4 linked regions of the Lepisosteus oculatus genome follow. The main gene of each other region encodes a partner of the protein of the gene in region 4 in a complex. Links are inferred from orthologs where the notes say so. Each region holds a gene or a part of one and is shown on either strand. Other genes may lie near its edges. The genes, in order: tmem237b, tectonic-1, b9d1 and mks1.

What was found.
Region 1: mks1 (region 4) and tmem237b share a complex: the UniProt entries of both Homo sapiens proteins name them as parts of the tectonic-like complex. The link is inferred for Lepisosteus oculatus from reciprocal best matches to the Homo sapiens genes MKS1 and TMEM237.
Region 2: mks1 (region 4) and tectonic-1 share a complex: the UniProt entries of both Homo sapiens proteins name them as parts of the tectonic-like complex. The link is inferred for Lepisosteus oculatus from reciprocal best matches to the Homo sapiens genes MKS1 and TCTN1.
Region 3: mks1 (region 4) and b9d1 share a complex: the UniProt entries of both Homo sapiens proteins name them as parts of the tectonic-like complex. The link is inferred for Lepisosteus oculatus from reciprocal best matches to the Homo sapiens genes MKS1 and B9D1.

What each region holds. Positions count from the first base shown.
Region 1 is NC_090707.1:34,917,754-34,925,764, forward strand, and holds the start of tmem237b (transmembrane protein 237B), read left to right. Parts: upstream 1-5,004; 5' UTR 5,005-5,415; coding exon 5,416-5,433; intron 5,434-8,011. Other genes in the region: mpp4b (MAGUK p55 subfamily member 4), read left to right, coding at 332-412, 1,642-1,735, 1,841-1,949, 2,257-2,391, 3,133-3,324. UniProt on the Homo sapiens protein: Component of the transition zone in primary cilia. Required for ciliogenesis.
Region 2 is NC_090717.1:10,245,630-10,253,356, reverse strand, and holds the start of tectonic-1, read right to left. Parts: upstream 3,017-7,727; 5' UTR 2,723-3,016; coding exon 2,245-2,722; intron 1,997-2,244; coding exon 1,879-1,996; intron 882-1,878; coding exon 751-881; intron 574-750; coding exon 413-573; intron 1-412. Other genes in the region: pptc7a (protein phosphatase PTC7 homolog), read left to right, coding at 4,080-4,281. UniProt on the Homo sapiens protein: Component of the tectonic-like complex, a complex localized at the transition zone of primary cilia and acting as a barrier that prevents diffusion of transmembrane proteins between the cilia and plasma membranes.
Region 3 is NC_090714.1:12,532,708-12,540,514, forward strand, and holds the start of b9d1 (B9 domain-containing protein 1), read right to left. Parts: upstream 3,002-7,807; 5' UTR 2,850-3,001; coding exon 2,790-2,849; intron 2,530-2,789; coding exon 2,461-2,529; intron 1,401-2,460; coding exon 1,289-1,400; intron 895-1,288; coding exon 798-894; intron 632-797; coding exon 569-631; intron 1-568. UniProt on the Homo sapiens protein: Component of the tectonic-like complex, a complex localized at the transition zone of primary cilia and acting as a barrier that prevents diffusion of transmembrane proteins between the cilia and plasma membranes.
Region 4 is NC_090721.1:453,767-461,219, forward strand, and holds the start of mks1 (tectonic-like complex member MKS1), read right to left. Parts: upstream 3,003-7,453; 5' UTR 2,789-3,002; coding exon 2,712-2,788; intron 2,209-2,711; coding exon 2,087-2,208; intron 1,654-2,086; coding exon 1,589-1,653; intron 1,037-1,588; coding exon 881-1,036; intron 712-880; coding exon 614-711; intron 3-613; coding exon 1-2. UniProt on the Homo sapiens protein: Component of the tectonic-like complex, a complex localized at the transition zone of primary cilia and acting as a barrier that prevents diffusion of transmembrane proteins between the cilia and plasma membranes.

The sequences.
Region 1 (8,011 bases), on a different chromosome or scaffold from region 4:
AATACCGTATGTTCAGTATATTTTGATCTGTTGAAGGAACACTGCACATCTGTGCTCTTACTGGGAGCTGCAGGGCTCCATATTAATTTAATTAGGCCAATTTAAACTTTTCCCCAGGGCTTAAAGCTGGAGAAAGAAGGATTTCTGCACAAATGTGTAGTGCAGGTGCTCTCCTGGTGTTCCACAACTCTAGCAAAATTCGTGTTTTCAGAACACCCCTTATGCTAACGTTCAGTGTTTCCTGTGCCAAAATGAGTTCTCCCTAATACTCTGCTTGTGTTCCCCGATAAAGTAAGACATATATCCGGATCTTTGTGCTTTATTTTCTCAGGTCCCTCTGGAGTCGGGGTGAATGAGCTGCGGAGGCGTCTGATTGAAATTAACCCCAAGATCTTTCAGGGGGCCATTCCACGTACGTGCTCTGTTTACATGTGGTTTGGGCGTTCTTCAACATTAAGGAACATTGCTGGTGATCTAGGGGTCTTGCAATGCTAAGCCTAATCTGAAAAGCTTTAACTGACATTTAGATTGCTCTCAATCCTTAACACCTTTGTGCTTTGTTTGAAAGATTGCTCCTAACCCTGCTTTAATTCAATGTGCAACAATTGTGAATTTGAATCATATTCAGAAATTGGGAAAAATAGTGTTTATCTCAGTGTTTGCCCCAAGCGCAACATTTAGCCCAACATCAACTATTGAGTTTCATCCTCCCTAAACAATAAAGCTCCATGTAACAAATACATCACTTAACAATTAACAAGAAAGACTTACTTGCCACATTCAAACATTTCCTCATTTGTTAAAAGAGAAAAGTTTAAGGGCTTATCAGAAAAAAGGTTTTATATATTTTCAAGGTCTTGACTCCTGAAATAAGTTTTCAGATGATCTGCACAGAATTTAAGTACAGGAGAAAATAAAGTAAGCTGTTTTGTTTGTCAAAGTGCTAACTGTGCAAAAGACCATCACCACAGCAACTGCAGCTGTTTAAAACAGTTGATCTGTTATTTATTGAGTTTTGTAACACAATATATTTTCATTTATCAAAAAAGCTAAAACCTAATTTTTGGTGGCTCATCTGATTTTATTTGATGTGTCACCAGACTGAAAATACATTTTGTTAAAGTGTGTGGCAGTCATTTTCTTCTTAGAATACAAAACTGCCCAATTAGTTTAATTCTGTATTGAGCATATTGACTTACAGTGACATAAATTCACTGCTCGCTGTGAACCGATTTATATCAACCACATATTTTGGGTTGGCATTGATACTAACTTATAAGGAATCCAAAGCTTTTGTAGAAGTGTTCTTTTCCTTTATTTTTCAATTTGAGATTGGTGCCTGTATAATAAAAAATCATATTATTGTGATGAAATACAAGGGATTCTTATTGTTTTGTAACATAACCTAGCAGCTTATCTTGGGAGAGTAACGCAGTTTGGTCATTTAAAGACTGCTCAGCAGGCAAGTATAAATCTGTTCAAGGATTATTAATTCCAAAAATTTTTAAAAACAATTGCTTTTAGCCTGAGTAATGGCTTATCAGTAGTGTAACCTTTTTAATGTTGTATTGGGCCAGAGCCGTTGTAGGTTTTGGTGTGTTTAATTATTGCTGTTGTCTAATGGGTAAATTTCTTAAACAGACACAACCCGACCCCCAAAGAGCTATGAGGAGAATGGGAGAGAGTATCACTTTGTAACCAAGGAGTTGTTTGAGAACATGATTCACAGTAACAGGTACTATTTGTTTCAGTAACACTTCAGTACAGGTACAGTACACAGTTTCTTGTGTAGTTTCAATAATTGAAATACAGTAACTGTTTTGCTCTCTGTGTTTGAAAGGTTCCTTGAATATGGGGAATATAAGGGCCATTTATATGGCACAAGCATTGACTCTGTCAAGGAAGTTCTGGAGAATGGAAAAATTTGCATAATTGACCTAGAGCCACAAGTAAGAATTTCTTACTACTTCTTCAACATGTTGTGATGTGAACTTCATACACAATTTGACCTGATGTGACACTTAAGTAAACAAATCAATCGTTCAAGCGTAATCTTGCTGACTGGAATTGTACAACAGAATGACGTTGTGTTGGGGAAAAAATTACAGAAAAAATTATGCTGGAATTCTGGAATTCTTTTAGGTGTTCTGCAGCTCCTGCAGGCCTTGATTCATAGCAAACAACTTTAAACTTTATCACAATATTTGTGAAAAGCTAAAAACAACAACCATTAATTGTAGTAAATCTGTTTTACAGGGCATTCAAGGTGTGAGGACACATGAACTCAAAGCATATATCATATTTATTAAGCCATCCAGCATAATTCGCATGAAACAGACAAGGAAGAGTGCCCGTATCATCACAGATTATTACGTAAACCGGCCTTTTAAAGTAAGTTTTCATTTTCAAAATGTATTTTTCTTGTTCTTTGGGAAAATACTTGAAGGACAGATTTGTCAGCCTTTAGGAATCTTCTTTGTTCCTTTTCACTTGTTGAATGTGTTTCTGTACTAATCAGTATAGAATCAATTAATAAGCGTATTTATAGCGTTGCTGCATCAAAATACTGTATTTTTATTACAAACTATAGTATACTCTCCCGTAATGGTAGAAGTGCAGACTGAAGTTTGGAACAAATGTTTCTTTTGCTATATAGTACTGACATTTTGGTGACAATGTACAGTATACAGGGGAAAACTCTATTCTGGTATTCAGTGCACCACACAGACTGCTTCCTTTGGAGTGATGCTGAGTGGCTATTCCAGAGAGGGCCACTATGAAGAGCAAAGCATAAGTGATATACAGGTTATACATGGCTCAAACGCAGACTGTATCATTAGTCAACAGTGACTGGGTTTTTTCCAAGTGGTGGTGCACAATGTTTTCACAGCTTGGTGTATAACAACAATCCCTGTGAGTTAGTGGACAGAGGTGAGCTTGTTGACTCCTCCAATCACTTCTCTGCTGTTTGTAATGCTTTTAAAGTTGGGTTGCAGAGCTCTGTACTTGAGCAACAGAGAATTGAAAATCCTACTGAACGGAGAGAAAGGGGCTTTATAATTCCATTGTTATTTTAAAATATGAAAAAGATGGTGCTGGCGGACGGTGCTAAAATGGTGCTCTGCTTCACAGGAGGAGGATTTCCAGGAAATGGAGGAAATGGCGAAGAAGGTGGAGGCCCAGTACTGCCAGTTTTTTGACCACGTGATCGTAAACGACAGCTTGCAGGACTCCTGTGTCCAGCTGTTAACCGCTGTGAGGCGGGCACAGGACGAGCCGCAGTGGGTTCCAGCTCTGTGGCTCAGGCCTGCAGAAGAGTCCTGATAGAGGAGAGGGGAAAAAGGGACAAACCACACCAAAACACAGGGGTAAACCTCATCCTAGCCCAGAGACTGACTGAAACTGTGAGCTTCACTAACAGTATCTAAAGCATAACCTCAGTGCTAGAACGATGCAGTGTGCTCAAAGTTGTTTCAACGTTTTTATCAAGTTGAAGGACTTTTTAATGACCCATACATAAAAATCCTAAATGCTGGCAGTATAACAGCAAGGTTACTGTTAGAGGTCTCCTTGCAATATGGAGAATTTAGGGGCCAAAATACTTATTTTTCCTGTATTTACAGTATCCTTGAGAACTCTGGGAATCCTTTATTTTCCCTGTGAAATGACTCCAGTATGATATCACCTTTAGAATTGTTGAAGGAGTTTTACTGTATATCAACCATAATTCCTGTCCTTGTCCTTGTCCATGTCCTTAAATTAGACAGAATTCTTCTTGCTTTAGTTCCTGAGTGATGTTTTGTTTTTCAATTATTTAATCTAATTTATATTACAATATAGCCGGATTTAATGGTTTGTGGCAGTCTAGATTCCTACAGGAGGTCGCCATAGTGTGTGTTAATGGGAAACGCCTGGCTTTAGAAAGGCACAGAGATTGTGAGATTTTACAACAGGATATTTATACGATGTACCAAGAACAGCCCAATAACTTGTGTTTTCGTTATCCTTTAAAATGTACTTATTGACCATGATATTTGATTTGAATATCACTGTTCAATTACATAAATCTGGGTTTCTACAACTTTTAATGCTGTCCTTTATGCCATAAGGTTATGTCGTAGTATCTGTGATGAAAATTTAATTTACTAATTTTGGAACACCTGCCTGTGTACTCAGGTAATACAGACGGTTATAAGTTAACCTTCTCAGCACAGGCTAGTCATAATGACTGTTAGATCTTTGCAATTTTTATGTATACCAAGATAATTGTGGATTTTATTGTACACCTTTGTATTTTCTTTAAGTGTATGGTTTAATAATTTATTTCTAAATGTAAGAAGAGAGTAATGTTTTAAGTGGTTCTGAAATTGTTTAATCATCAGTTTTTCAATAGTTCTAAAAACAAATCAGGGGGATTTCATTGCATCACAGACCGCTCCAACATACAGTATAAGCCGAATTACTGATTTGTGAATTCATTTGTATCTAACCTTAAAATTGTGATCTGAAATATAAACTCTTCTAGTTTATTCATCACCTCAATATGGAATTTATAAAACAATCTATAAATTCTTTTTATAGAATAAATGACTTTGACTTTGAATAATCTACATATATTTGAGTGTTTTCTTGTTTTACTGTATGTACCACCATTTTTATTTAAAAACACCAAAGTTAATTACAGAACCTGTGGTACCACAGTGTGATTTACTGTAATTTGAATCTTTAAGTTTTCTGAGAATCCAAAATACAATGTTAGCCGTTTTTTTTTTAAAAAAAGATTTCTGTTGTCTAAACATTTTTATTCGTTTCTTTTTTAAGTAGGTTCTGCTGTTTTTGTGCAATATTGGTAACAAAGAGTGTTATATGAAATATTTTAATAATATTATTAAATGCTGAATTGATTGATATTTAAGCTGTACGTTTTGTGGTTGGACTGAACATTGTCTACTCTGCTCCATTTAATGTCATTAATGCGGATTAACGTGTCGTCATTCGAACCGAAATCTTCATACAACTTGATCCCTCTCGCCATTTTTAGAATACAAATTCATTATTCATTATTAACAGGTCCCCTAAATGAGAAATCCAGACATTTTCAGGAGGTAAAAAGATTTAATGAAGTATCAAAATCCTAACGTTGGGTGTTTGTCACTACAATCAGAGCTTCCCAGGTGCGTCCATCTATCCAAGAAGATACGGGATGATGGAAATTGCGCTTGTATTACAAGAAATAATGTAGCCGTGATTTAACCCGGAAGTAGACATGATTGACCTCCCACTGGCTCGTCGCTCTAGCAACAACGGTGTACAACAGCATGGAATTTGGTGTTCTGATTGGCAGTTTTGTTGTTATTCTTCTTTTTGTACAGTAGTTTTCTATCTTCAGAAGCTTGTTGTATTGACTTTTTAAAAATGGATGAAATTCCACGGGTAAGTGGTTTGAAATAAAATCGATCGAATATGAATGTTGAAAAAGGTGTAGTTGCAAAAGTTTAACGAGAAGCCACCTCACTTTTGTTGATTAAGATGGGTGATTATTTAAAATGTCTTTCGTGTTCATAGATTGTATTTTCAGTCTTGAAGGCCGAAAATTTTGTAAAAGTAATACTGGCTGAACCGTTTGTATTTAGTTTAGCCAGTATATACACACTAATGTCGATTAAAGTAAAATATATATTTTAAGCAATGAAGTGTCATTCTTTAATTAGAAAAAAAACATTCCCTTTAGTTTCAAATACTAGTACCAGTCGTTTTCATTAAGTATACATATTTCACGATATTATATACAGGAAGAGTTTCAAAAATGTTTGGTGCCCTAATATTTTTAAAGCTGGTTTGAAATCTATCTTCTATCCTTTTAACGGTATTGTCCATCTCGGCAGTAATAGCTGTTTTTGCATTAACTAGTACTCGCCTTGAATGAACACGGCGACAACAAGAACTTGCACTGTTGTCCTTTAAAGAAATGAAAATTGTATAAGAACTATGACGTTTATTTCAGTATTCTCTGTAATATGTAATAGCCCATACACGAACGCACATCATGAATGCGACATTCAAGATAAGTGAAATATTTATTGGGTTTAAAATATCAAAGCAAATGTGAACAAACATATAAATGCAGATTTGTCTAAGATGGTATCCAGAAAAATGTCTTTGCTCTTTGCCTGTTATTCCTTCCTTGTGAGCCCTGCTTTGCACTACAGTCCCAGCTACACAGCTGCTGGCTTTGATCCAGCCCGGATCTTGATCCTTAAGTAAACTAATAAGTCGTTTGTTTGGACTGAACTCTACAACACTGTAACGGTTGTTGCGTCCTCTGTACGTTTTGTTAGGAAGGATAAGGATTTGTTTTACCTGGATTTAAATCTGGCTTCCAAAAGAAGGATACATCGCACAAGGAGACGACTCCCTTACAAGGCCGGTGTTAGATTTGCTCCTGTATGTTGCCAGCAGAGGGCGCTGTCGCCACAACCACCTGGTAAATTTCTTTCAACCAAAATGTGGTCATATGCTAGCACGCCTGTCTGCACTTATCTGTGCAGTTCTTGGATCGTTTCTTTTTCAGGAAGGGATTTTTACTTCATCCATCTAGTAAACGCATGTAAGCCCTTAAGAGTGATTACCAATGAGAGGAGTTTATTTGGCCCTTCTCCATATCCCCAGGGATACTTTCGACAGCGTGGCTGGTTAGTATTTGGCAGACTCCTACAACTCTTTGTGTAAAGATGTGCATCCCTGATTTCCACCCTAGCTTTACTGTTGATCCTGAGGCAGTTCTCTCTGAAGAAAAATGCTGTGCTCATTTAGTCTGTGTGAGCATTACACTGTGAAGTATACATTTTGGAGGATTTTAAGTCCCTGGTCTAGGGACTGATTAAACCCTACAGCTTTATTTTGTTTCAAAAAGGGGAAAGCAAGCTAGAGCCCAGATAGTGGAGGTCTGCAATTTAAAGGTGCCCTCTAATCAAAGGCTTTATGCCATGAACTCAGAATGGGATCCTGTGAGAGAGATTTGTAGCAGTATTGTTTTTTCAGGTCTTTTTTGGGTTCACTTATGGCCCTGGGGTCCTGTCTGTGTGGAGTTTGTATGTTCTCCCTGTGCTCTCGCAGGTTTCCTCTGACTGCTCCAGTTTTGTCCCACAATCCAAAGACATGGTGGTAGGTTAACTGACTTTTGAAAATTGGCCCTTATGTGAATGGTGAGTTTGCACATGTTCGTATTTGTCTGTGTGTGTCCTGCAATGGACTGGTGTCCCATCCAGGATGTAGCCTGCCTTGTGCCTGTTGCTTACCAAGATAGACTGCTGCTCCCCTACAACCCTGAAGTGAATGAAGTAGTTAGAGGATGGGTGGATATTGACCCTAATGAGCTGATTATTTCTTTAAAGTATTTTTTTCCTTTTTAGTTTAAAAGGAAAAACATGAGGCCTTTGAATGTTATTTTTCAAACTAAAGCAGGGACGCTAGCTGAAGATCGTCTCCGCACCTACCAAGGTCAAGTGCTAGCATACAAAATTTGCAGAATAATTCAGAAAACAATGTGAAAAGAGAAGATGGAAAAAACAGGAAAATGCCAGTTAAATATAAGATTGCTATTAGTTTTACACAATATCCTTATTCAAGCTTTTAACCACACTGGATTTATTAAATGAATAATTTTCCAGATTGAAGAATTTGTCTCTGTACTTTTACGCTGTGACAATCAATTCTAATGAAATGATTATATCACATTCTAAGTAATGGCACAAACTAGCTAGGAGGCAGATGCTAAAAACAGCAAAACAGCAGGAGGGGCCTCTTTCACATTAAATACAAGTAATTAATGAAAGGATGGTGTGGAATGGAGCGAACCTTACAAAGACTGTAAAACCTGTTCTTAACACAGAATAGCCAATCGAATTCAGGATTTAAAAGTAATTTTATAATGGAGTGATTTCCTTTAGAATCTTGTTTAATGACCGCATGTGTGCTTTTGCCAATAATACTGCCTGATGCGATGGAGGAG
Region 2 (7,727 bases), on a different chromosome or scaffold from region 4:
GGGGTACCCCCCTGGAGGGGATGCCAGTCCACGGCTGGGCACAGAGACACAAACAGACACACACTCACACCAGGACCAATTTCCTCAGAAGCCAATTAACCCACCAGAATGTCTTTGGACTGTGGGAGGAAACCTGCATTGCTGCGCCACCCTAGTAAAATTCCATCACTTTAAAATTTAAAACACCACTACAGCTTCCCAGATCTTAAAAGGAACAAGTGATAGGTTTATTCCCTGTCGAAAAGAGAAGAGAGAAAACACAACGTCTTGGCTGTGAAGCCTTCTTCAGCTTTATTTTTTACGGAAGGTACCTGGAGACTTGTATGTACTGTATAGAAATACTTGAGCATTGTCCTGGCCTACACTAACTGTGGCGGAGATTAAACACACAGAGCCACTGCAGCACGTTTACCTGGTAGCCAGAGGCGGCCTGCAGGTCTGCCCTGTCGGGGGCGGTATCGGTCCCACCTCCATCTGCGGGGCTGAAGAAGAACCCACCGAACTGCCTGAACAGACTGTCAAAATTCCCATCTGTGGGAATCTCCGGAGAAGCAAATGACAAGCCATCCTTATCTAAAGAAAAACCAAAGCTCTTTTGCAGTTTCTCTTTTGACTCATCACATATACCGTATGAGTAACATTCAGGCATGCGAAAGGCTACTTTTTTTTTTTCCTTTCCATTATTCCTGCAGTCATGGAGGATGATAAAGGGTCCTTTTTACATGTTGCTAGAACCGAAACTTCACCTACAGTTGGCAGTCTGGATGCAGAAGACACCTGGGTTGATCTCTTGCGCTACAGTGGATTCTACCTGCGCTAGGCCATCTTCTGTGTTAATGGTGTAGAGAGCAGCTTGCTGGCTGCAGAGCCGGGAGTCAGCACTGAAACACACAAGACCGAGTGTCACGCCATCACTCACACTGCTCCCACAGTGGCACATCCAGGCTGGCACTTCGACTGAAAATGAACTGCAAAATGTTGTAGGAACCGGTTATGCAGAAATAACGTTGTGTGGGTCCATGTTAACAGGACTGTAGATAACTACTTCATGGCAAAGAGAAAGCAAAGGCGATATCTAAGTAACACTTACAAACTGGCTTTCATCCATACAGTTTATCATTGCTAAAACGCTACTTTTTGCAGCTTCTATTTATTATTGTAGTGTTAATAGATATAATCATACATAGTACTCCTCAGACTGATGTCTTATAAATACATTGTGTTAATATATGCACTTTGGATATAATGACACACTCTGCATTATACACACACGTTACCTGCAAATAACTTACACAGTATACTACTACGTAGTGTGATCTAACAAATACAAGGAAACATAAATTAAATACAATTACTATAAATACAGTTAGTCAAAAACAGGTATCAGAATTGTCATAAATTAGGGGGAAACAGAACATCAACTAAGAGAATAGAGCTGAATAAAGAGGCCAGGAAAGGGTGCTTATGTTCTAAACTATAGGACAAGCAGCATTTTGTAAGATTTTGAAAGAGCAAGATAGATCATAGGATAACTGGTAAGTTCTAAGGAGGGACTGGAAGTAGGACACCGATCCATCCGTTTTCCAACCTCCTTATCCTATACAGGGTTGCAGGGAGACCGGAGCATATATCTGCCAGCACCAGGCTCAAGGGAAGATACACCCTAGACAGGACACCGGTCCATCTCTGGGCTCACACAGACACCACACACACCAGAGGCAATTTCCCCAGAAACCAGCATGTGAAGGACGTACAAACTCCACGCTGTTAGCACTGCGCCACCTAGCCGCGAAGTGGGAGAGGCACAGGACAGCTCACGGTTCCCCAGTCTGGAAAAGCCCCAGTGCCAATGCAGGACGTTGCCATGCGATGACTTACATCAGTCTGTCGACGGTGCAGGTGGTGAAGAGAGCGAAATCGCCCTCGCAGTCCCTGTCGCAGCAGCAGTTGACGTCACACTGACTCGACAGCAGATCGCAGGGACACACGTTCGCGACTGAGGAGAGAGGATCAGAGTGACTGTTAGCAACCGCTGACGACCCTCCAAAATAATGCTCATGGATGGGTGGTGGGTGAATGCCTAGTTGTTTCGACCCAGAACAAAATCTGATTTCAGGATCGGAGTGCGGGCTGCCCTGTACTCGCACGGCAGCCCTAATAATAATAACAACAATAAAAATAATAAGTCCCTCAGATATCTCCAACCTGTCACTGAACTGCTCATTGCCTGCTGTGTAATCATACCGTTAGTAATAGGCGGAGGAAGGGAACCCGAGAGCGGCAGAGGCCGAGAAGAGGGCGCCTCGGCTCTCGGAGACACGTCGCTCCGGGCTGTCGCCTCGGGTTGAGGGGCTGTGTTCGTCTCAGGGGTGCTGAGAGGAGAGGGGAAACCGCTTGCACTGGTCGGCTGTGCGGCCCCCGTCTCGGCTGACTCAGCTGTCGGCGGTTCGGGAGCAGCTCCGGCCGTCTGGGAGACAGAAGCTGCCGCAAAGTTCTCCGCCGTAGTGTTGAAGTCGTTCGTGTCTGCTGGGGGGAACGGCTCGTCTGCCGTTGTCGCTCCGGTGTCTCCACTCTGCGCCAGAGACGTGGTAAACGTTTGCAAACGAGTGATAGAGGCGAAGTTAAAGAAAATCAAAAACCTTAGCGACACCGCCATGGCTCTTAGTAACCGTAAACAGACGGTTGAGCCTTCGAATCCAGGAACTGAATTTGGGAAGGGCATCCCGGGTAAAATAAATAAAATAATTCATGTGATCGTATTATTATTTTGCTGATGTAAGATGGGAGTAAAAGAAAACGAATTCGTGTTTTCTGGCCGTTAAAATAATAGTGTTACGAAAGCTCCATTCAAGGTTATAAGTACGAAAGGTTTTACGCATGCTGTCGCCATCTTGGCTCTTGGAAAGGGGTCAATTAAGGACAGAGTGTAATCATTCGGAGTCAGTTTGAGCCACAATGGCGACAGTTTCAGCGACCTCTCCGTGCAACCTTGGGATCTTCTTAAATTTCAGAATGTCAGTGTAACGTGATGGTAGTACCTCATTGTTATGATTTGTACTGGCAACGTCATAAATACACTGTATATTTGTCCTTATCATCTGGGTACCGTCTAATATGCAAGCCTCTTAAGGTAAATTCTGCTGGATCGTAATATTTATTTGCTCATTTAAATGTTTCAGTAAAATATCTGTGCAAAGTTTACTTTTACAAATAAAGCTAATATTTAAGATTGAACTGTAATGCACAGAAGTGTACTTAAGTTCCTGATTGAAACAACAATAAGGTAGTGTCCAATTGCATGGTTGGGGAATAATATAAGACTTTATACAACGAATAAAATCCTGTAAAAATAATTTCCCAGGAAACTAAAATAAATTAAATTAATTTAAACCAAACCAAATTAAATAATAAACGATAGCATTATCTCTGAAATGCCTTATGCTCTTGCAGACGGAGCTACAACGCGTGATTTAAGCAATACGATTAATGTTTCATTTCTTCGTAACAGTGAGCCGTGCAGTCGTTTGGTGGGAGGAAAGGCGATTAAATGGCATGAATTAAAATGTAAAGACAAAAGTCTGTAAAAATGACCGCGATGATACGGGGAGAGCAGATCCTTTCAAAACGACAGTTTTCCCCCCCGTTAACGTAGTTTGAAGAAAGTCGCGATTGATGGCCTTTTAAGGAAAACCCCCTATTGCGTAACAACGAATGACGTCAAGGAGTCACAAGACTGCCCCCCGAACTCTGTGGAGCTCGCGCTCGCCGGAACCCGGGCGTTTGTACAATCTTGAGCAGGGAAAGATGGCGGAGAGGATGGAGCACCTGAGAGCCACCGGCTTCGCGAAATACCACGCCAAAACCTGAAGACGCTTCCCAGCCGTACTCTTCGTCCTGGGCCTTTCAGAAAACAAAAAAAGACGTTAAAAAGGCGCCTCCTCTGGGACTGTGGGGCTGACCTTTTTCCCTGTTCGTTAGTGTGGGTAACCGCATGTTGTTTTGTTGAGAGACTAGTGAGTGAGGCAGAGTGAGGAGAGAGTAGGTAGGAGGTAAGGTGGACTCTTGCTATTTTTGGGGGGATGTTGTCCGTTCTCTCCTATGGCAGACTGGTTGCCAGGGCTGTCCTGGGCGGACTTTCCCAAACAGATAGCCGGGATTACAGCCTGGTGACGGCAAGCTGCGGTTTCGGGAAAGACTTTCGGAAGGGGATTTTGAAGAAGGGGATGTGTTACGGCGATGACGCCTGTTTCATTGCTCGGCATAGATCCGCTGATGTATTGGGTAAGTCCGGCGATTTTTCTTGATTTCAGCGCCAGGGCGAAGCGTTTAAAGCTGATCTCCAACGGACCTACTACCCCCCATCCCGAAATAATAATAATAATAATAATAATAATAATAAAAAAAACGATCAAGCATCGGAGCCCTTTCACCTTGGAGGTTTGTTGAGCTGCAGTACTGTAAAACGAGTCCACGCAGGTTAAGGAAAACACCGTAAATCGCGCTTCTTAATTTTTAAATACCCTTTCTGGAATGTCACTTGAACTGCATGACCTGGTCTCATGTCAACATGTGGCACCGGGCTGGTGTGTGGTACTTGATCGGTACCGGCAGCGTCTTGAGACGATTTTCCCCGAAGTCGTGCAATAATACTCCTTCACGCAGCTCTGACACTGTTTCTATTTGCACCTGTCGGCGCACATCACCATTGAAGATTTTAATGCCGGCATTATCCCGCATTTGTACTGCAGAGCTAATTAAGTGGCAGGATGTGTTTAAGAGCCTCTGCATCTGCACGGTGCTTCTACGTTTTTGCAATGCATGGAATTTGAACCTATTGTCATTTTACCGTGCTTAAACACTTACTAATGTTAAGGACTACTTCAGTGTTTTTGGTGCGGCTAAGAAAAGCTTGAATTTGTTGCAAGCGAGTGATCGTGACCTTTTACCTCGATCGCCGAGATGTAGACTGAGGCTTTGTATCTCCACCACTAGTGGCGATGATGTGCACTCCCAAGGTGTTTTAAAAAACCCTCCATTGTGTAGCTTTTACAGCATGAGGAGAAAGGTTCCGATTACAATTAACGCTTGCGGGTTTCATCTGGGTGTATTTGCGAGACAGATGTGGATCGTTATTTCATCTTCCGCGTACGGCTGCTGCACCAGGAAGCATTTTGTGTGCTGAGCGTAGTGTCTCGGCGTAGGCATGTTAGAAGCCTTAACGAGGTCTTAGATCCCTCATCAATCCTCGCTCACCCTGGCGTTGTTACTCTTTTTTTGGGGGGGTAAACGCAGTCTTAGTTTCCGGACAGCCGGTGTCCGCTCTGCAGAGGTCAGGGTGGTTAAGCATGGAGGCGGCCATGTTGGGTCACGTTCTGTACGCGCCCCGCGAGCGCCGTCCTTGTCCTTCTCCGGCGCGAGCCAGGTGCACTTGAGAGGGAGCGGCGCGCGCCGCCAGCTGTTTCAGTTCCCAGTGTCACCCCGGGGCGCCCGTCCTAACGTGAAAACCCACGACTGGGGCGTGTTCTCTGCCAAGCCGGGGCTGGCAAACACTGGGGCTGGCCAGGAGGTACGACCTTTGGCAGCAAAGTGATCTTGCCCACCTTTTGAACTAGGACAGACGTCAACAGTTTGGATATACGTGTCAGAGCGGACTATGACCTTGAAAAACATGTTTTCCCTCGAAGGGCAAATCCGTGGTAGTTAGTAGGGGGTTTTGAGGAAAATTTAGTTATTCCCATATCTTAACTGAGAATGTCAAGGGGGTATGCATCGAAGGACGCGTGTTTATTTTATTTCGTGTTTCACTCAGGTCGCGCACCTTTGTACAGAAACGAAAGATGTCTGCCACCGGTTTCTGGGAAACCTGATGCAGCCTCTATTCAGAAAACAGCTTTTAAAAAGAATGGGATTATCTAGGAATAGAAGAAATTGCAACATATTCTCAATCTTCAAGGGCTCAAATTCTGATGTGCACGTTCGTTTCAGCAGGCTCAGCTCTGATCATCCTATAGAGGAATCTGTATCCGAGTCCTGTCTTATCTCTGCATAGACGACAGAGCGCCTGATCCACCTGCAGCAGCAGCCTGAAGTCATGCGAGAGCTGTATTTGCTTGTTGGGTCCTTGTAATTTTATTAGCAAATTGAACAGATCTATATATCAGGAAGCAAGTCGGCTCTAAACATCTTTACTTTTACTGTCCCCAATGGGGAAATTTGTTTTGCAGGCAAAAGACATAAGACGAAACAAAATACGTTAAACACAACATGAACCCAATAACAAAAACATATTTTGATTTTCCCCGTACAGAATGTTAAATTGCACTAAAAGTGACCTGGCGGCAAGTTCAGCTTTCTCTGCAAGGGTTCTGGAGTGTTGCTTGATGTATAAGGAGGGTCATGTTTTTGGTTTGTCTACTTTGGGCCTTTGTTGTGTGAATTGGCTGGTGTTTGCACAGCCAGTAGTGGACTACCATCGATTATCTGTGTTTTTGTTTCATGTGGGATTAAATGTTGAACTCTGCGTAACTGTTTTTCTTGGAAAGCTTGTCAGACTTTGAAGGATTGCTGAGTACAGTCTCATGTCACAAGAGCCTTGCATATTTAAGGTATCAAAAATAGGTGACATCTGAAGTTTTAATATCGGCTTTCAGGCCTTCATATGTTTTAAGTCCATATGTGCTTTTGTATTGAATAATGTTTCGCACGAAAGAACAAAAAGACTACCTTTGTCTCTTACACTGCCTCCTACTATTCTAATAGCACATGATGCACTAAATCTTACCCATTTCCATGTGAACAGACCGATTCCCTGAATTTTCTTATTCTGCTGAATGAGTCATACTAATCCTCAGGGAGGATTTGTATTTGTGTGCTCAAATCAATTCTCAGAGAAGAGAGTGCAAACAGCTTGCAAATCGGATGTCTGCACAGCCCGATTACTGCAACTGCAGTTAGAGGAAAGTAACTGCTTTATAATGCAAAATCAACATTTATCTCCTGTTCATGCCAGTATTGCTTCTCTGAACCACTTAGGCTCACATTGTTTTTTTTCGTCTCTCTCTAGCCTGCAGTTTCATGTTTCAGATGAGATTGCCAGTGCCTTGGTACAACATTTTTACATCGGTTATTTTTAAGACAACTTGTATAAGAGAATTTGCAGAAATTCTCAACATTAGAGTTGGTGGGGCATTGTATACTGGCAAAGCAGCACCACTAACTTTGTTGATGTGTCTCCACACACACACACACACACTTTGCCAGAACTTCTCAGGAACCTGCAGGCTTGTAGTGATGTCGATGAGGGATGTGTCTCCTTTCAGATTGGTGCTGAATGTCCTGCATCTTACTGCAGTTCTTGGGAGGAGAACATATTAATGAAGCCATTTCATAGATGGGGATTATTAGGTTGGTCAGTTTGGCTACACATTTACTCTTTTCGAAAAACGCCCTGGGATTTTTTTATGGCCACATAGAGTCATGACCTTGGTTTTACGTCTCATCTGAGGGATGGTGCCTTTTTTACAGTGTAGTTTTCCCATCACTTTTATGGGCATTAGGACCCACACAGACTGCAGAGTGAGTGCCCCCTACTGGTTCCACCTCTTCCAGCAGCAACCTTAGCTTTCCCAGGAGGTGTCCCACCCAGGTACGGGCCAGGCTCACTCCTGCTGAGCTTCAGGGGGCTGCCAGCTGTGAGGTGCACTTCCTCATTCACCCTGTGTGAGCAC
Region 3 (7,807 bases), on a different chromosome or scaffold from region 4:
CACTTTGAAAGGTAGCTGTGTGGTCTTTATTCCTGCTTCTGCTTGTAGAACAGTTGTATTGGTAAGCCAAATAACTATTCTAAAAAATATGTATAAAATCAGACCTTTTCAGAAAATCCAATTTGCATTTTAATATCATATATAACCATAACTTCCAGAAGGATACGAAAGTGTAGAAGTGTACTGTGTGCCCTTGAATTATTGGTACTTGAGAAAGGCCTTGCAGATCTAAAGCAACCTGACATCTGAAGGATAGGCTCTTTGCATTCTCCTTGTAATAAAAAAAATAAAAGTGAGGAAAATGCAACAACAGCCTTGGGAAACTTCTGCATTCAATGAATTCAACAAGTATTTTACTTCATCTGCACATTCATTTTACTGTTGGTTCTCTGGTTGGGCATAACCTACTGTTTTTGAAAAGCTCACTTAAAACTGGCTGTCAGGACATTTTTCAAGAGAAGCAAATAAGGGCCAGATACCATGAACACAGAATTTAAAACCGAGTGTGGTAAGGCAGAGCTCAATGGTATTTTCATAAAATGCTTAATCTGTGTTGTGGCGGTGTTACCTTGTGAACTTCTGTAGTCTTGAAGTAGATTCTGGAACAAACATTGGAATAGTTCTCTTGTGTCTGAGAGAAGAACACAGATTAATAAGATTTTTGTTTTTGCACACTGTTCACAGGTTCATTATTAGTTTTCTGCTGCAAGGTGTACTGTACAGCATGCTGCACTGCACACAGTGCAACTCAAGGGGGCAATGGATAGCAGTACCGAGGAGAAGAGCAGGAGACTTACTGGCCAGGGGTTATGGGAACATGAACAGCGCCATATCCTCGCACCACGTCATTGCCGAACGCGTCCAGTCCGTACACACTGACCACGATCTGGGGCCCTGCGCAAGAGAGCAGACACCTGCACCTTAGCCCAGTGAAAGCCAGTCTCTCTTTTGTGACAGCCTGGCCACAGCGATGATAGAAATGGAAGTGGTGCTGACAAAAATACAGTTCTTGTCACAAGCAAACGAAGCCCAGCAATTGTTCCTAGTCATTCTTAACTGCTACACAAAATTACGCAGAGCCAGATCTTCCTTTGCCATTGACATGCATTCTTCAACAGCACTGCAATGGAGGTGAAAAACACCCATCTACAAGTATATTTTGTCATATATAGCCAAATATACAATTTGTGCAGTACTGTGTCTAAAAGAACCTTTAGTTCTGTTTCTAAAAGAAAGTAGTATAGTTTTTCAGTAGTGGGTAATCGGTGTCAGTGGGTGTGTCACTCACATCCGAAGGGATTGGTGCTCTTGAAGGTGATATCCAGGGGGAAGTTCCACACACAGCGCTGCTGGGAGTCTCTGCTCTTGGAGGCGATCTGGGAGATCCCCTCCTCCAGGCCCTGCCAGGACAGCGACAGGCATGATCGGAACAGCCTACGCTGGAAGTGAGGGGCCCGCTGGACGCAGCCATACCTATCTGGACGGCCATTCCCCTTCCAGCGAGCTACTGAGAAACATCCAGTAAGGAACTGCATCAGCTGCATGGGAACAGGTAAAGATTTATTCCAGGCTGAAAGGAAAAGAAATGCAGTGGTTTGGACAGCCACTGCCTCCACACGCCTGAAGAAGGCTTCAAAGCCGAAACCTCACATCTCTTCTCTTTTCCTTTCAGCATGGAACAAACCCTTACCTGTTCCTACCGAGAAAGACGTTATAGTCCCTCAACCTCATCTCCAGTGGTCAACTGTATAGATAATTCCAACAAAGAGGTATTTAAGCTCCCGAAGTCCATATTTGTGTCAATTTATGTGTGAATAACAATAAATGACTCCTCTTGGTGTAGCCCTTCAACAAAACACACATCACCTCATGCAAAATGGATCTCCCAGCCTTTGCCCAAGAGGCACAACAACATTTTGTAGTGTTGGCAAGAGTTTCTCTCTGGCTAAACACAGAGTTTGGCTTTTCAGTGGGATTAAAAGCTACCAACTCTCTTCACCATCTTAGGTACTGTGTGATAATACGATTTCAGAATTATTCTTAAACCGAATGAAGGTAATGCTTAAATTAATATTAAACTTTTGTTAAAGTCATATAACTGCTAAACAACTGTTAGAAAACAGGACTAGTTTATGCCATTAGAAAAAAAAGGCTGGCTAAATATTTCATATTTATTACGGTAAACGATTTAGTTGTTTCCGATATAACTTTGTCTTTCACATTACTGAAGTAATACATCGTCCTAATTGCAAGGATCTTATAAAGCAAGGCAACATCAAAAAATGAGCTGATCACAAGCCTGGACTCTGGACCACGGAGATCTGGGAACTGTGAAAACCAGGGCAATATATTAACAACACGAACGTGAAGTTTAAATTGAGGGAATAAAAGCAGTAGAATTTTAAAGCAGAAACAGTACGTTATCAATATAGCAAGCACCCTCAAGCTTAAGTGTCTCACCGAGGTAGGAGCCCAGTCGTGTCCGTATACAAAGCAATATTTGCAGTACAGGTCGTCATATTCTGGAAACTAAGAGACAGTAAAATGGAGATTTAACGAAAGAAAAACAATTTTTACCACTTGGAACAGCGCTCCGTTCAACACACATTGAGCCTCTGAAGATACTACACATGTTTTTAAAAGTTAGCAGAGAGACGGGTTGTATTATTTTACAGAACATGATGTGAAACGGACACTGATGTGGCCACAGGAAAGCGTATCCAGTCTCGTCTGGATCTACAGTAAGTAAAAACAGGAGGCTCTGTGCGTCTAGAAAGGCGGATACTCACGCTGGCTCCCTCTATCTGACCGTTTATCATGAGCAGAAAAACAGATGGATTGGCTGACATTCTGCCCTGTCTCCACACGTTTCGAAATAATAATAATCTGAAAAATATGTTCTATCTCATTGCTATTGTTATTTATTCCTATTTGCTCTCCTGTTAGTGTCACCAACGCCTCTGGATACCAAGGACGCCTCCTGTATGGCACAGCGTGAGGACCAAACAGTGCAAGGTAAAAAAGCGATTGAAAAAACATCGCCCTCTCCTCCTTTTCAATGCCCAGCCCCGTTAGGTTTATGCTTTTACCAACAGTAAAACATAACCTTGAAAGCCAAGACAAATACTACACCACATTAGCACACAGGGTACTGTGTTATGTCACGAAGTTATCATCTAAAAGGTTTCTCGTCTTATCATCTCTGTATACACACCTGAAGAGCTCATTATCGCCTTCTCCTCTAGATGGTACTCATGCAATGTACAATCACTCTGTTCAAGTTTTTTTCTTCAGCCATCGGAAATTGAGGTGAAATGAATGAACCAAATGGCTACAATGCAATCAGTTAGCTGCTGATTGGAGTGCGCGATGAAAGGACGGTTTTCTCTCAGTATTGGTGCTCAGCAGTAGGGCTGTAAAACGGCCGTGATAATAAAAAAAATGTTTTTTACGTTGCTGCTTACATTAACGCAATCTTTATTAGCTTCTGAGAAATAAAACATTTGGCTAAATGAGGCATCTACGCCTATATTATAACAAGAAGTTTTCTTTTTCTTTCAGTTTGGCAAAAAGGTTGGAAAAAGTCGTAAATTTGAATCCTTCTTTCCTGTTTACCAGCATAATAGCGAGTCTAAAATTAAATCTGACCTCATGCGAAGGATGGTGAACATTTCACATGTGGTTAAAACATTTTCGTTTAGTATTGCATTTAAGACCGTTTTAATCCATGCTATCAGTAGAAGGCTACAGTGACTGCAGAGTGAGACGAACTGGGTTCTTCTCCGCAGGTGCTGACGCGCCTTGAGGTGGGACTCGCGTCTTGCCCGGGGCGGCCCCGAGTTCAGCCACGGCGACTGCGGTTACAGTTAGTGGCGGCGCCGGAGATATCATGAGTCAGAGCGCCGTGTTAACGCGTGTCGGGTCCCTGAGTGTTTGTGCTCGGTACGTAGGGATTAGTGTCACACACTGCCTGTCATGTTAGTTCTGCCGTCTGCACAGTTTGGGTACAGCAACACGGCGTGACAGAGGCAGGCGGGAGGGCCGTGATACAAAGCGCTCCAGGAGATAGTAGGAAGGTAGCAATGACACTGACAGAGAGAGTGGGAGGGGGCAGGGACTGTAACGAAGTTTTATTTCAGGCTGTTTACGGTTCTTTACGTCTTTCTTTTCTTTCTTGTGTATCTTAAAGGTCAGGACGCAAAAAAAAAAAAACCCAAACTCCAGCGTGCGTGAAGATGGGGTTTCTGCCAGGCTCATGTTAGGGCCAGGCTCAGGCGAGTTACGAGCAATGTTTTGCCCAGATAATTCGCTCTCTACCCCTGCCGGAAAGGAAGTGCAATACAGAATGTGTACCTGAGTGCCGGCCCCTTGGTGTCTAATTACTGCAGTATTCTCCAGATGGAGGAGGGAGGATTTGGGTCTGTCGTGATTTCTCTTAATTAGCAGGAGGAGGATATGATCAACAAAGCTACTGTTTTGCGAGTCTGCCACGGTTGCACCCTTAAAAAAAAAGCCCTGAGATGAAACGTGGACACGTCTGCCCTTTATAAAACAAGCTGAATCACATAAATGCAATTTGCTGCACCAAAGCAATAGTATTTATAGTTTCATAATTGTGCTGTTGGATGCTTAAACAGAACTGGCGAGCTGTGTCCGAGAAATGGATAGATGATGAGGGTGTAGTTCAAGCCATTTTGTTGTTACTTTTGAACTCTTGTTTCTTTGTTTTTCCTGGGGGTTGTTTCGCTTAGCATAGATCATGCAACGTGTTCCTTCAGGCTCTGTAAATTAACCGTGTTCCTGTGACCTACAGAAACCACCCCCAGGCTGAGTATACCATGCTTTAGCAGCTGCTTAGAAGACCTCTAAAAAAGACTACCTCCCCTCCCCTCAGACACTCCCCTTTTCTTATGGTAGTAACGGTGAAACAGAACATCCTGCCTGACTAGATAACTATCCTGGGTGGCAATGGTTAAATAGTAGCACCATGGCGCCCCCTGGTGATCAGTCCTAATGCTTTGCAGCTACAGTGCTGCATGCGCTCTGCTGGGTGTCATTGCTATCTCTGCACTCACTGATACAGTGACCTTTTCTGTACGGAGAGCTAAGCATCACACAGCCCACTGCCCAGTCACGACAGCTGCCTATGTATCTTATACTCTTCCTACCAAAGCTATCTCAAGTAGGTTCGGACTGTAAGACAGAGCTATTTCCTTTGCTGAATGTGTGTTTTAGGGTATGAGAAGACTATCTGCACTCTTAAGTCTTTCAGGACACATGGTCTTTCATCATCACCATCCCATAATGTCCTTCAGTCCTCCCAGTCATCACTCCCTCTGTGTTGTTTATTGTCAGTTCCATCCTGAAGCAGGTCAGGAATGTGCTTTAGTACAGGCAGGAAAGACAAAGACCTTCATATAGCCCAGACTGAAATTACAGCAGACAGGGAAGATATCAACAGATGGCAGGCCATTTATAGAGCACTGTTGACGGGTAAGCGTTTGCCAAGATGGAATGGACTTCAAATATTTTGTGAGTGAGCGTTGAATAATGTCAATAACTTGGCTCCACAGATTTGGGTCTCTGTGAGGTAGTGACCTACGAAGGACTGGTGTCCCACCCAGGGTGTATACTGTCTTGTTCCCGATGCTTCCTGGGACAATGTGACCCTGGGCCACTGGGAGCCCGAATCGGATCAGGGGTTTTCGAAAGGGATGTGATGATGATGTGAGGTAGTGATACGTGGCTTTGAGAGAATGCCACCTGTTGATGGGGGGGGGGGAAACTGAGGAAAAAAATGAGGCACATCTGGGGGCAAATTGAATAATTGGCTCAGAGAAGGGGTAGAATTCCATATGAGGGAAATGATCTCATAGGATAGGCTGTGGAGGAATTGGCCATGCATCTGGGCTAATTAAGAGATCTATAAGAACAGTTAAGAGGAAAAAAGTTTCAGTCTGTGTTTAGGCTACAGCCTAAAAGGAATGAGTTTGAGAGCTCCAGAGTGGGAGATCTCATTAACAATGGACTGAGCTGCCTTACAGACCTGTGTAGCTCGGCAAGTGAGGGATGTTTGAGAAAATATAGCTTAGCTTGTACTGCACTGTGTAGTGAGGTAGCAGCATACAGTGCCTTCTTCCCCACAGCTGAGAGTGAGAGGGAAGTATAGATGAGTCCTGTGTACTCCCTATGCATTAACATCAGCAGACAGATGAGCGATGTCAGAACATGAGATTAGAACCAAAAAGTATGTCAGGGATGTTGTTTACAGACAGGTGTCTCTGGCCAAAAAGGATTAGCCACTATCGTTAGCAATAAGTTAATAGTTGTTAGTGAAAACAACAGCAGAGATTAGAGTGGAAGTGATAATTTTAGAGTAGACTGCAACTGGGCAATGTAGAGTTAATAGAGCTGAATTCTGTGTTGCCTGGCTATGGTGAAGTGAATTTAATGAAGACTGTTATTGGGTGACAGAGTCAAATTAAATACTCCGTGCCTGATTGTTAGTGAATAGAGATTAGTGAAGATTAAGAACTGGGTGCCATGAAGTTAAATAAGTTGATCCTTCAGTGCCTGGTGATTAATGAATACAGAGTGATGAACTGATGAGAAAATCTAATTGATGTGATGAGCATGTGCAGTGTTTAGTGCCTAATGAAGACCAAGAGCGAAGAGTTAGTGAGCACATCTAGTGTCTTTGCTTTGAATCAAGTAAAGAGCAACCTGAAAGGAAGAACTTGGCAGACTTCCCTGAAAGGAGAACAAATAAGAGCTTACATCCCAGGTGAACGACTGAGCACATAAAATACAGAAAAACTAAAGTAACATGCTGGTGGTGAAGAGTTCATGGTGATGTGACATGTGCCTGCACAGTTTATTTAAAAAAAATATATAATCAAATATTTAGATTTTAGTAGCCTTATAGAAGATTGAGACACACCTCAGCAACTGCAAACTGTTAGTAAACTAGTAAAGAAAAGAGATTTTATTATAGGGGGTTCAAACTCAGCTCCTGTAAGGTATAAAGTCTTCTTGTTTCCCGAGCTTTAGGTTGCATATTTGCTTTAACTATGTAATTGCCTTTTTCCAACCAAGCTTCAAGTTTTCACATAGCTTTAATTTTTTTAAGTTCTTTCGTATCGTCTGACAATAAACATCACTCTGCTGAATTTAATGAAGTGAATGCTTTGAGTAATTGGCTTCAAAAGCCCTTCAGAAAAAATCCCACTCGTCTAATGAAGCAATCAGGTTAATTGATTAATTGACCACTCAACGTGGAACAAAACCCAGATGACACTCGGCCCTCCAGGACTGGAATCTGACATCCCTGATCTAATTTGAATTAGCAGTGATTCAGTACAGAAGTGATAGTGGTAGGCATTTAAGGGTTTTGTTCTTCCTTAAGAGCTCATAAAAAATTGTGCTGCTGATGAGATTGTTGCTGATGTGCCATTGCATGTAAAACGCATCTTTATAACGCATCCATAGCCATCCGTAAGGGAGGGGAAGCAGGCTTGTTTTCATCTGCGAGGGCTGTGACGACAGACAGTGCAGGAGACACTTGGGGGACGCAGCCCTGAGCCCCTTGGCTCTGTTGAGGGAGCAGGAGGTGGGGCTGAGCTTCAGAGAAGTGCCAAACTGTGCTGGCTGTGAGCGTGTGACATGATGGAGGCCGCAGGCCCTCACAGACCTTTCCAGTCCTCCTTGCCCACTGCTGTTATTACTTTGGATCTATTCTCAGCCTCCCTCATTACTATTTTAGGAGCGCTGTTTCTGAAATGGAAAAAGAAAATGTACTGCACGACCA
Region 4 (7,453 bases):
CCCTGGAGGGCAGAAGCCAGGTGTGGGAAAGTCAAAGTCAGACAGAGATCCAGGCTCATACGGTACAAGTAGAACTGCACCCAGCCAGCACCATGCTGGTCTTAAACATCACATTGTGATGTGGCTGAAGATTTTACCATTTTCTTTTCTGTTGTGAACAGTAGCTTGACATCATACAGGTCACAACGTATTGAGAAGCAGAGTGGGCCCTGGATAGAAGGTGAAGGTGGCAAAGTGATATTTGGAGGTTACAGTTCCTTACACCATGCAACACCATTTGAGGCGTTTTCCTTCAGCTTAGGACACCAAATCATTCTGTGAGCCCTCAAGAACGGCAGAGAGTAACTAAAAGGTCCCTAAAAAAGGTAACACTCAGCTTGTCTCAGGCCATGAAATGGGCACAGTACAATCCAAAATGATAATACTTCGGCAGATTTCTTACGAATTTGTTTTGTATCCAAGAGCCATGTTTCACAAAAACTTGCAAAAAACATATAAATGTACAAATAAATATTACATCTTTTACATAATGCTGTATTTATTTGCAAAGTAATGTTTATCAGCGCTGTGTGTATGTGTACAGCCAGAGCGGGAAGAAGAGACTGCTGCTCACACTGGGCGCCTCTCCTGTCTCCTGTGCCTCACATGCGCCATTCTCTCCGCCAGCAAGGTGGGGGCAGCCCAGTCCGGGTTCAGCACTGGGAGACTGTGCTGCAGAGACACACAAATGCGACTAAGTGCTCTCATCTTCATATGCACTCTGCCTTGCATCCTACAGGCAACAACAGACAGCCATTCAAGGAAAGAGCAGCAGCCACACAATAAACATGAAAGCATCTCTGGCCCTTTAAAGCCCGAGCCAGTTGCAGAGCGGACCCACCTCCATCTCCCCGGACAGCAGGTCGCAGTCGGTGTAGGTGAAGATCCTGCGGCTGGCCCGCCCCCCTGCCCTCTCCAGAGCAGCGATCTCAGCATGGTACTGCCTCTCCAGGGGGCTTCGACATGCCGCCTCGGTCTGCAGCAGGGCCACCTCACTCTGCACACACCCCACAGGTCAGGAGAAACATCTCAGGGAAAAGACAAAGCCCAGCTCCCACTACACTCCTACTGCAGACGCTAGCGCTTGGCATGAAAAAATAGGTTCCCTATTAAAAACACGGACATGGTTCTTCAGGAACAAAATCATTGTAGAGCAAAATAATCCCAATAATAATGCAGCTTTAGGTGACTTCCTGGATTCATTTCACACTTTTCAGAAACATCCATCTCTCCTTTCCCTGGATTTCCTAAGACTGGACAGTGCTGTGTGCAGCCTCACTCGGTTGGACTCGTGAAGAGAAGGGAGTGTGGGAACTCTCTCCGAGGACGTCCAGCGCAGAGCGCGAGGAACACAGTCCCCACCACAGCACCAGGGCCCTGTCACACTCTTCAGGTGTGGCAGCCTGAGCACATTACAGTACCTCCTGCTTTTTCACTGAAGACTGAGTAACCCCTACTGCCATCAGGACAGGGAAGCGCCCAGCCGATGTTATTACTGCATCTGTAATTACTGAACAGGCCCCCACCTGACCAATTACCGGGCCCCCACCTGACTGAAGAGCTTCTCCTGCCAGCCCACCGTCACGTCCTCCTTGTCGTCCTGCTGACCGCCTGCTGGAACACAAGACAGGCCCGTTACTGAGCGGCCCCCAGCAGACACTGGCCGCCACTTGCACTGCGCTCCTCCACAGTCCTCACTGCCAACAAACAAACCAGAACCCGTGTTCCTACAGTGTGTGCGAGCGTGTGGCGGGACACCCTTACCCTGGCAGCGGAAATGCATCTCTTTAAAGAACTGCCAGCACTCAAGAAACGGTATCAGCACCAGCTGACGTCAGTAGGAAATATATACTCTCTGGTTGTACTTTTCTCTGGTTTGCTCCATATCAGCGACTGCCATGCTGGAAGCTCTGTGCTGGCGCTAACTCCCTGACCTGAGATCCAGACACGAAGGCGTTCAGACGTCCTACTAACACCCTTTGGATATGGATCTCCTCAGGAAACTGGTCCCAGTTAAAGAGGGCCTGGGCCCTGCACACATACTCACCTGAGCTGGCTTGAGCACTGAAGGTGAGGAGCTCAATGAGGCCCTTCTCCTGCAGGGCAGAGGCCTGCTGCTGGAGCTGTTGGGAGAACACCGTGGGGGACGTGATGCGCTGGAGCCGCACCCTGCAACACAGAGACACAACATGCTGACACAGTACTCTGCTCCACTCCAGCACTGCCACACTGAGACAGCGCTGCACCACACTGACAGGTTACTCTGCTACACTCCAGCACCGAGACAGCACTGAATTGTGTTCAGAATTGCGATACGACAGTAAAGGGAGCTGTACGAGCATAATCCTCCTTTACAAACTGTAAACAACTCTAACGTTACATTTGGATGTAACAACCCCTTACGTTTATATAAAATATAAAGTAGCGAATGTCGGGAATACCTCCAAAAGCAAACGTCGAAATACATGCTGTACTTCTTTTTAAAAACGCTACTGGATTAGATGCTGTCTGAACGTGCACTTTACACGCGTTATCGTTATGTTCAACCGGCGAGCTGAACTCGCAACGTTGAATATACCACGTTACTCCCGGCAAGAAGAACCAGCACGAATCTGTGAAGTGCTCTGTTTGTACGTTCAAATCTTTCTTGTTTTCGGGTCTTTCCTGGTTACCTTATTTTCAGGTTTTCGACTGGATCCCTGGAGCGATAAACCCCTTCCCCCGTATCCACACTCCAGCCCTCCGCCATCTTTGCGGACGTGTGTGTTGTCACGGTAACGGCAGGGCTCGTTTCCTGCGGTTTACCGACACAGGGCGGTGGAGGCAGGGGCTGTAGCCAGGACTTGATTTTGGGGTGGACCGGGCTCTAACTGACCGTCCTGCCAGCATAGGGGCACCCCTTCAATTTACAATGTCATCCTCGAGCGGTATAATCAAACAGCAGAATTAGCGGAACCTCATACTGTATATATACACGGTCTCTCTCTCTCTCACACACAATTACCTAGGCTGCTGCACGCTACTGAGCCACGACGGACACATGCAAAAAAAAAAAACAATCAGTGCCTACCTCTGGTGAGGTTTTGGCCTTCTAGACCAGACGCAGGCGTCGGGGCTTGGAATTCAATATGGCGATAATCTCGTCACGGTCTAGAGAGTCGGCAAAATCCCGTTCAAATGACAGCTAGTTTGCTAAGGTCTCTCGTATGAGGACTCTGTCTTTAGCTAAAGAAAAGCTGCAAGAGCTCATTTTTACTTATTGCTTGTAACGGTTCTAAGTATTTCGTATGCCTGCTTTTAGATTGTTCAGTAGTTTTACAAGTTACTCTGAAGTCAATATTTTATTGCAAAACACAATGAACACAAGGCAAAAATGCAAGGTTCAAAATACGTACAAAATATTGTATTTATAATACCATGCAGGGCTTACCTTGAGCTCCATGAAGTTGGCCCCCCTACAGCCAGCACAAACTCATGACTTTGGTGTTTTATGCGTCACAGAGAAAAGAAGGCGCTATATTGAAATATATTGAAACATCCTAAGATCATCCCCCCAGTGGCCCTGGCGACGAGCGGAAGGCCGCCAGTCCTGGCCAGAGCCGGAGCAGGACAGCCCATCCCGAGAGGACAAGGCTGGGCCGCAGGGCTACGACTACAGTGTGCTAGCAGGGGCTCCTCATCAGCTCCTGGGAGGAAACCACAGCTAAAACCACACGCGCACCAGGAGAGAACACGCAAACTCCACACAGACAGGCCCCACAACCACCAATCAAACCCAGAGGTACAAGAATGCAAACCCTCTTCTTAATCAGGACATCCTTTCAGATGCTCAATGGAGATGACGAGTTACACATCAAGATTTTTATTGTTCCATGTGGGCCTTTTACAGATATTCCTGTAAGCTTGAATTCACAGATATTACATGTATAATCAATCATCTTGTTTTGGAAGATACTCCTTGAACCCCGAATTGTTAAACAAGGTAATGTGGTAAGAAAGTATCTGAAAAAAAACACACAGTTCATCCAAATCCACAGCTCCTTTATAAAAAGTTGTTGTCCAGTACTTTAAAAATACATTTTCAGCTTCCATTAAAATACAATTTGTATACAAATTCTTTTTTCTCCCTCCAACTCCTTCTTTTTGAAAAAAATAAAACGTAGTAATACACAATTATGAATCAGAAACCTCAAGCAGACTTTGCAGAACCAACAGGAGGTTTTGCCTTTGTTTCATGATAGGGGACTGACAGCCTTCTCTCTCTGTGGATGTGTTTGTTACAGGACCAGCACACCAGCAATCTGGTGAGAACATGATCTGGCAGAGCCAGGCTCAGGGCTCTAAGTCTCTTCTTCTGCTGCTTCAGCCGTCTCACTCACAGACCTATCGCTTCTACAGCGCTAATGTGTAACATCTTGACAGGTTGGGAAAAACTAAAAAGGCTGAACTCTAAGCACACTCACGACTCTCTGCTGTGCACTTTGAGTCGTTCCACAATAATTGTACATCTTAATTGATTTGCTTTCAGTTCAGGAAAAGTGGGCTTTAATAACTATCTTCATTCTCAACACGTTAGTTTTATTTGTACTGGGGAGAGGGTCAAAGGTCATACCAACAGGGCACTAACATGACCCTGAACTCTCCACCCTCTTCCCCCAACCAACAGGCACAGGGCAAGACCCAGCCTGGATGGGACCCCAGTTTATCACAGGGCACAGACAATCTTCCCAGAAGCCAATTACCCCACCAGCATGTCTTTATAGAGTGTGGGAGGAAGTTTGATCTTGACATCTCTAAAATACGCAGGTGTGTCACTGAAACAGCTGTAGCAGCAGTACAGAAGCACTGTAGAACACACCACTACAGCCTCTTCAAAAAATTGGAGGATGGAGGTAAGCTGTGATTTGCTTAATTAAAAAAAAAAGTTAAATAAACACATTTTCAAAGTTCTGTACAAAAAACAAAAACATACATCCCAGCACTACTTATTTTAAGTCTCTGGAAACCGGTTATTGTAGGAATTTGATTTGACGTGATTTTTAACAATTTACGCTTGAACATCACAAAGCTGAAGCATGAGCAACAGTAGCCAAGACTTGCTTCCGCCACTCACACAGTGTCAAGCCCAGACAATGAACATGCTCAGCACAATAAAAACACTTCCAGCAAAGGCATCCAATTTAAAAGCAAATGAGCAGTCATTTAACAAAATATTGACGTACTATGTGACAAAACCTTTTTCTGCTTGCAAAAGTCTCTGGGGGGAAAAAAAAAATAAAGAACTCACCTCCCACAACAGAGCATTTTGATCCACTCCAGGAATTACCAGCTGCAGTGTTGGTAAGAGCTGTAGCATAAAAAGCACTAATTGCATTTTAACTAAATGGATATATGCAAATACACTGAATAATCCATAAACATCCATATATAAGAGATTGCAGACTTAAATAACTGAAATGAATCAAAATACTATGCAATAGGACACTTATTTCTAATCGAAAGCAGGGATATCGACTCCTGCTCCTGAAGAGCCATGTTTTGGTTTTCATTCCACCCTGGACTCTTAAATTAACTGTTCACTTTACTAATCTATATTACTACTGTTTCATAAGTCTTCCACCACTGAGGATTTGTAAGTTACCAATGTAGCTACCAGGACCAGGAGTAAATATCAGCGTCTTATAACAAATCTCTTGTTCGCTGTTCACTCAGTGGACAAAACAAAATGTGTAGCTGTTGTTCCTCTTCATTAAAAACATGAAGCGTCGACCCCCCCCACCACACACACAAGGGTAAAAAAGCCTTCCCTTTCTAAAATTTTCACATCTGGTCCCCCATTGCTACAAGGAAACCCAACTTTTTGTATTTTAAATATATGGGTATGTGGAAAGATACAGATATATGTACCGACATGCTTTCTCTGCACAAAGTCCCCAAATTTTGATCATAATGGAATTTATTTTCCCTTTAGGCAAATGGTGTGCAAACAGCCCATTCCACAATAAACAAATCAGATTGCCAACCCCTTGCTCACAGGCAAAAATAATCAGGCCCAGATACTTAAGGACACCCTCTTCAAGTGCACATTCATTTGTCACAGCAAGCAGTAGTTGGGACACTCCAGGACGTTACCTCATTGTTGTTGCAGACTGCCAATGTTACAAGACTGGACTGAATCACACTGCTCCACAGCTGCTGGAGTTAACAGGACTGTGTACAGTCAAGGGCCACACGATTGCGCCAAACAGGTATTCAATCGAGCTGGTGTGTATATGAAAGACTTTCATCAAAGTTTTTAAAGAGATCAGAATCTATGCAGACTCTTTGCTTTAAAATAGTGATTGAGCATCCCTTGAAAATGTGGACAATGCACCTCAGTCTCACACATTACAGGCAGCAGCAGGTCTGGCCTGGGGGCATGTTTTCTGTTCAACCTGACTCACGGCTGCTGGAGAAAAAGATCTGAAAGGGAGCAGCCACAGGTACCGGAAGAAATCCAATGCCTGCAGCAGCACGTGGGGCTTTTCTAGAGACAGATTACTTTCAGGCCCACTTACACTTCCCAATCTTGTCTTCTACTCCATGCTTGGATGCTTCCTGCTCATGATCTTTGCCTCGAGATAACGGACACGAACGTCCCACAACGGTTCAGGAATATTCTGTCCCAGCAGAGGCTCCAGGGGAGGCAGTCTGCACCCCAGAGGGTCTTCACCGACCCTGTCCAGGCTCCCCATGGGAGCAGCACAGTCCTGGCACAGCAGCGTCAGAGCAGGAGAGTTCCTAGATTCAGGGTGCAGACAGCGCCCCCACATGGCCGGTACACCACCGCGGGTCTGGCGCCCATGAGCGCTGCTGTGGGTGCTGAAACACAAGCAGGCGGGTCAGTGCTCTGGGGCTTCTTCACATCTCCCACATCAGCCTTGGCTTCCTTCACTCCAAAACTGGCATGTGGAAGAATCTGAATTCCCACTCTTCCTCTCACACCTGGGATCTGGGACAGAGCAAGAAAGCAGCGGTGGCGCAGAAGGGAATGATCGCCAACTATTCCGGATTCCTCTACGTTCCCCTTCGGGGAAAGATGAAGCACAGAGTCCCCATTTCTGGTCTCTCTCTGCGGGGATACCGCGGACAGCGCTGGTCCGAGGAAGAGTCAGGCTCCCTGTGCACACGTTCCCAGCTCAAGCCAGAGCAGGGCTTCAAACACACAGCCGGCGTCTCCAGAGCACGAGAGACTGCCGGGCCATCGACACGAACGCCTCAGGATCTGTATTCACCTCAGAACCGAGCCAGAACCAAACAAGCCCAGCCTCTGGGTCTCTCATTGGGCCCCTTAGAGGAGCACAAGAGATCTAGCGAAATGATGAAATCATATTTTAGGCAATGCGGTTATTTTTGACCAGTTGATATCATCTGT